2 linked regions of the Macaca fascicularis genome follow. The protein of the gene in region 1 purifies or fractionates together with the protein of each later gene. This does not show direct contact. Links are inferred from orthologs where the notes say so. Each region holds a gene or a part of one and is shown in the gene's direction. Other genes may lie near its edges.

The links.
Region 2: the proteins of ABCC1 (region 1) and VDAC3 fractionate together in Homo sapiens (co-fractionation; 3 studies listed by BioGRID). This does not show direct contact. The link is inferred for Macaca fascicularis from reciprocal best matches to the Homo sapiens genes ABCC1 and VDAC3.

The regions. Positions count from the first base shown.
Region 1 is NC_088394.1:16,247,362-16,251,278, forward strand, and holds the start of ABCC1 (multidrug resistance-associated protein 1), read left to right. Parts: upstream 1-1,189; 5' UTR 1,190-1,352; coding exon 1,353-1,400; intron 1,401-3,917.
Region 2 is NC_088382.1:45,929,777-45,932,372, forward strand, and holds the end of VDAC3 (non-selective voltage-gated ion channel VDAC3), read left to right. Parts: intron 1-748; coding exon 749-806; coding exon of another isoform or gene 807-810; intron 811-1,252; coding exon 1,253-1,344; 3' UTR 1,345-1,779; downstream 1,780-2,596. UniProt on the Homo sapiens protein: Non-selective voltage-gated ion channel that mediates the transport of anions and cations through the mitochondrion outer membrane and plasma membrane.

The DNA.
Region 1 (3,917 bases):
AAATTGCTAAGAACATAGCCTTAGGAAGCCTTGTCACTGTGAATGCCTATTACTTATTATTATTATTTTTTGAGACAGAGTGTTGCTCTGTTGCCCTGGCTGGAGTGAAGTGGCGCCATCTCAGCTCATTTCAACCTCCACTTCCCAGGTTCAAGCGAGTCTCCTGCTTCAGTTTCTCAAGTAGCTGGGACTACAGGTGCCCGCCACCATGCCCGGCTAATTTCTGTATTTTTAGTAGAGACAGGGTTTTGCTATGTTGGCTAAGCTGGTCTTGAAGTCCTGATCTCATGTGATCGGCCCGCCTCGGCTTCTCAAAGTGCTGGGATTACAAGCATGAGCCACCATGCCTGGCCTATGATTATTTTGTCTCCAGGCTTCAGTTTCCTTACCTCTGAGGTGAGGATCAATAACCTAGTTATTTCTAAGTGATGCTTAAAGAGGTTGAGAAGAAGCAAAGGCGCTCTGCACACAGGTGAGGTCAACAGCTGTTGGTGATAGAGACTGACGCCCTCTGGGTCATCAGTGCTCTGGAATCAGGCTGCTCATGGGTTTGAATCTCACTTCCACTTTCACTCCTTGCTAACTGTGTGACCTCAGGCAAGTCACTTCGCCTCTCTGAACCTCAGTTTCCCCATCTGTAAAAGGTAGGTGAATAAGAGTATCCACCTCCTTCTGTGTGAGTCAGCTTTGGACCGGGTTCAAATCCCAGCCCTGCAAATGATTAGCCAGGTGACCCTGGGCAGGGGGAATCATCACTCAACCTCTCTGCACCTGGGTTTCTTCCTGCATGAACGTGGAGATAGTACAGAATGAAATGAGGGCGCAGCTAAGGCGCCCAGCACACTCCAGGCAGGTAGGGGGCTCCGTTCACGTTATTTTCCCCTGGTTACGGATACTGTCGTTAAACAGGATTTGAAAAGTGGTCGCAGGCTGTGTGGCCCCAAAGATCCTAGGCGCTTCCGGAAGACTAGCCAACGCTCCCCGAGCCAGTCCGCAAGCGAGTGGGCCTGGGCCTCGGAGGATCCGGGGTGGGGGTGGCGCGGCGTCCAGGCCCTGGGCGCCGAGAGGTTGCGGGTCCGGCTGCCCACGCCGAGACGCGCGAGGTGAGCCGGGCGCCGGGGCGGGGCGGGGCGGGGCGGGGTGGGGCGGGGCCGCTGCATCCCCGTGACGCGCGGGCCAACCAGGCGGCGTTGCGGCCCCGGACCCGGCTCCTTGCGCCGCCGCCGCCGCCTCCGCAGCCAAAGCCAGCAGCCGGGCCGGATCACCCACCGTCCGGTGCACGCCGCCGCCCGCGCCAGCAGCCGGGCCGCATCACCCGCCGTCCGGTGCCCGCCGCCGCCCTCGCCGCCCGCATGGCGCTCCGGGGCTTCTGCAGCGCAGATGGCTCCGACCCGCTCTGGGTACGTGCGGGGGGCCGCATGGGGCCGGCGGGACGGAGGGAGGGAGGGAGGCCGGCGGGGACGGAAAGCACCGGGCCCACAGCCGCCTGGGGCACCCCGCTCCCTGCTCTGCGTCCGGCCTTTGGGGCCCGGGACTCCCACGTCGCCAGCGGCCCAGCCCCTTTCGGGGGTGCAAGGCATGGAGGAAAACTTGGGTGACTCAGTTCCTGCGGAGCAGAGCGTGGGGGGCCGCGTGCCCAGTCCTGGGGTTTTGGAGGGGAGGGTCGGGCCAGAACCTCCGGGAGGAGGCCTTCCTGTTTTGGGGTTCCCGCCTCTAATTAAAAACAACCTTCCAGGGAAGGGACGCTAGAGATGGGGAGCGGGAAGGGGGTGTCTCTCTCCGTCTGTTTTCCCATCTTTTTTGTGGTTAGGGTCCCCCCTTTTCACGAAAAATAGTCTGTGACCAATGGGGTGAGCTGGGGAGGGTTTAGATGGTAGAAAGGGACTTTCATTGTCTCCCCGAAGTTGTCGTACAAGCCACATTACTCTTCTGTGGTTACCTAGCTTTGTCTTTTTTGTTCTTTTGTTCTTTCTGCTTAAATAGTGCGGGGGAAGTTTGGGGGAACCAGGGAAGAAGGGGGGTGTTCACCCTTGACGTGCCCCACCTGACCCTCGGCTCGAGTCACATTTGGGGTGCAGCTGAGGACGCCCAGGACCCTGGTAGCTGTGGTGCTGCCCTCCCTTCCCTGCAACACGTGGAGCTCCTCTCTGGGGATTTAATCCTGGCAAATTTTCTTCGGTAACGTGGCCTGCGGAGCCTGACAGGGTTGGAGTCCACTTTCTGTGGTTTAAGCCTCAGTCTTTTGGGCTTCAGCTTCTCCGTAATGCGATTTGCCTTTTTGTTCCAGGAAGGCACTTCTGTTTCGTGCTGTCTTGGTTATTGGTGAACGCAGTAGGCAAATCTGGACACGACTGTTTCTCTCCTCTTTTGTTTAGGAATTAGGAGAAACAGCCTTGGTTCTTAGGAGCTGGTGATTAGCATCCGAAAATACTTTCTTGTCCTGTTTTGGGGGTCTTTCCTTGAAGGCTGCATTTGGAATGTTGAAAAATCATCCTCCAGGGCCCCATTGGAGGGTTTGGTTTTGTTTATTTGTTTTTTTAGTAGGGTATCATTATGTTTAATAACCTACCACATTTTGATATGTCTCTCATTTTAAGCCAGTTGGGGTTGGAGAGTGACCCCAGGGGTGGAAATAGAACACGGACTTTGCCTTCAGGGTCTGGGAGTGATTGGAGCCTCTTTGCAAATGAACTTTTTTTTTTATCAGGGAGAGGAAAACCTGTGGATCCCTTGTTACCAGGTGTAATAACAGCAAGATTATTTTTTGCAAAGATTCACATGGTGATCTGGGTTCGGGTTGCTGTGAATTCCGGAATATTCTCTTGTTTATTTTCTTCTGCATTGAGGAGGGGGCAAAACAGGGTGAACATCCATGACATTTTGTATCAGGACATACTTTATTGATGGCAACTGGTAGTTGATGGCTAATGAGTGTGTTTGGGGTGTGCTTTGTTTATCTTAAACTGATTCACGAAGTCCAGTTGTAATGTTTTTAAAAATTTTAATTAATTTATTGTTTTCCTTCGTTAAGGACTTTTTTGCCACAGAAATTGTCAGGTGGCTGGGTTTCGCTTGGGTGTAATTGTAGCTGATTTCTGCCGCTGGTAGGTAGGTACCCCATCTGGTGTTTGACCTTGCATATTTCTGCTGTCTGGATTCCAAGACTTGCTGGAGGTGCCCTGGAACCAGAATTTGAGAGGAGGCAGCTGGGGCCTGAGTGGGAAAATTAAAATATAATTAACAGAAAGGTAGAAAGTAGGTAGGTGTTGCGTTTTTCTTTTTCCAGACATCATCTCACTCTGTCACCCAGGCTGGAGTGCAGTGGTGTGATCTCAGCTCACTGCAATCTCTGCCTCCCCCGCTCAAGTGATCCTCCTAACTCAGCCTCCCAAGTACCTGGGACTATAGGCATGTGCCACCACACCCAGCTAATTTTGTAATTTTTGTAGAGACAGGGTCGAACTATATTGCCCAGGCTGGTCTCATACTCCTGGGCTCAAGCGATCCTCCTGCCTCAGCCTCCAAAAGTGTTGAGATTATAGGCATGAGCCACTGTGCCCGGCTGTTTTTGTGTTTTTCAAGGCAGCGTGTTCAAGGCCAGGAGCGACTGGCCCCCCAGGCAGTCAGATAACTGTGTGACCTTGAGCAAGCCACTTTCCCTCTGTGTGCCTCACTTTCTTCATCTATAAAATGGGACAGGAGCCAAAAATGTGGCAGCCTTCTAGGGTTGTTGTGAAGAGTCAATGAGTTAATCTTGTAAGTGGCTCAGCTTGTGCCCTGCACAGAGATAAGCAATGGCTAGTGTTAAATATTATTTTTTCCAGGCCGGGCGCGGTGGCTCAAGCCTGTAATCCCAGCACTTTGGGAGGCCGAGACGGGCGGATCACGAGGTCGGAAGATCGAGACCATCCTGGCTA
Region 2 (2,596 bases), on another chromosome or scaffold:
CATTTAACCCTCACAACCACTCCATGTGGCAAGTAGTGTTATCCTCATCCCTGTTATACTGATGAGAAAACTGAGCCTTAGAAAGGTCAGCTAACTTGCCCAAGGTCACGTAGTAACTGGCAGTGCCACAGTTTGAACCTAGATCTGTTTTTCTGTCACCCGAGTTCATGCTGTAACCACTGTGAGAGATTGTCAGCTGGTATCTCAGGGAATTCAGGGTGTTTGGTTGTGTAGTGTTTAAAAATTTTGCTGGAGGCCTTGAAGCATGCATTCTTAAGGTACGTCCCACCCATACAAGTCCTGCTGACTTTAAAGATCAGTAATTCTGGCCCGGCACGATGGCTCACGCCTGTAATCCCAGCACTTTGGGAGGCTGAGGCGGGGGATCACCTGAGGTCAGGAGTTTGAGACCAACCTGGCCAATATGGTGAAACCCCATCTCTACTAAAAATACAAAATTAGCTGGGCATGGGGATGCATGCCCGTAATCCCAGCTACTTGGGAGGCTGAGGCAGGAGAATGGCTTGGACCCGGGAGGCGGAGGTTGCAGTGAGCTGAGATCGTGCCATTGCACTCCAGCCTGGGTAACGAGAACGAAACTTCATCTCAAAAAAAAAAAAAAAATCAGTAATTCCAGATTGGCCCTAGGGTGCTTTTAGCGTTGGAAACCTGATGCACAAAGTGATAGTTGTATTGGACTGATCTGTAATTCACTGTTTTATGTTATTATTCTATCTCTTAATCTTAGGCTAAAGTAAATAATGCCAGCCTGATTGGACTGGGTTATACTCAGACCCTTCGACCAGGTAAGTAAAGGAATTAGTAACAGAGGGTCTGGGGTGGAAAGCGATAGAGGAAAAAAATGAAAATAACCTGCAGAACAACCTATAGTCACTGTAAGTTGATTCGGACCATTTTGTAACATTTGGTTGTTCAGAAAGAAAACAAAACAGATCAAATACTTTTTCATTAAAAAAGTATGTATTTCTGACTATGATGTGGTCACTCTGGCCTTTTGAGTTTGGTTGATCACTCATTGCCCTTAACCCTGAACTTCAGAGAAAGTTTGCCATGATCATGCGTTCCTCATTACACATCAGATGGTTATAAATAACCGATTGAGTAATAGCTGTTTGCTTATAGCTCTTATACCCAGCTACAATCCACACCATTGATTCCATCTGTTGTTTCTAGAAAGTTCAGATCTAATTGTTACTTGTTACAAGTGATTGTGGTGTTTTCTTCTTCCTAGGAGTCAAATTGACTTTATCAGCTTTAATCGATGGGAAGAACTTCAGTGCAGGAGGTCACAAGGTTGGCTTGGGATTTGAACTGGAAGCTTAATGTGGTTTGAGGAAAGCATCAGATTTGTCCCTGGAAGTGAAGAGAAATGAACCCACTGTGTTTTGGCCTTAAAATTCTTCTGTGAAATTTCAAAAGTGTGAACTTTTTATTCTTCCAAAGAATTGTAATCCTCCCCACACTGAAGTCTAGGGGTTGCGAATCCCTCCTGAGGGAGGCGCTTGAAGGCATGCCTGGAAGTTGTCATGTTTGTGCCATGTTTCAGTTCAGTTCTGCAGTGTTATTAAATGTGTTCCTCAGCGACAGTGTAGTGTCATGTTAGAGGAGACGATCTGACCCTCCAGTTTGTACATCACGTCCTGCATGTCCCACACCATTTTTTCATGACCTTGTAATATATTGGTCTCTGTGCTATAGTGGAATCTTTGGTTTTGCATCAGAGTAAAATAAAATAAACCCATCACATTTGGAACATAACTGCTCATCTGACTTGCTGGTGGTGGTTTTCTTACCTTTGATGTGATTTGTTTTAAGAAGCACTTTCACAGGCAAGATTTGTGTCTAAAGTGTCGGGGCTGCCGCCAGTCCCTTTCACTTCACTGAGCCCTGCTCTGTCTGCTCTTGCTCTCACAGGGCAGGCTGAGGAAGGAAGCAGTGAACATGGTTGTGCTGGGGAGCGGCACATCTGTTGTGCTTGTGGTGTGATAGGGTCGCATCACCCCAGGAGTTGTGTGCAGCTGCTGAGAAAGTGTGGGTGTGAGTGGGTGAAAAGATGGTTGAGGGAAGAGTGCATTTGGGGAAGCATGGGGAGGAGAGATGGGAGGAGGCCAGAGCTGGGTGGACACTTCTGGGGCTCCTCCTGGGCTGCAGAAACATCATTTTTTATTACTAGTATAGAAAAATGATAACCAAGGAATGAAGTACCAATTTAGAGAAGAAATGAGCAGACTATAATATCCTCAGGGATCACTGGTAAATCATCTTCCTAAAAGTAGAAGTCCTTTGAAAATCTTTTTTTTTTTTTTTGAGTTTAAGAGCAGAGGTTTAATAGTTGAGAGAAAAGAGAAAAGCTCTTTTGCAGAGAGAGGGGTTCCTGAGTGGGTCTTCCGGTTTCGTGATGAAATGCATAGGGTTTTATAGGCTAGCTTGAGGAGGTGGTGTCTGATTTACATCGGGTCTGAGAGATTGATAGGACCAGGTGTGCTGTTAGCATGAAGAAGCTGGCCATCCCACCCTAATCTTTTATTATGCTGATGGGGTCTCTACCTGGCTAGTGCCATGTTGCCTGCCTTTT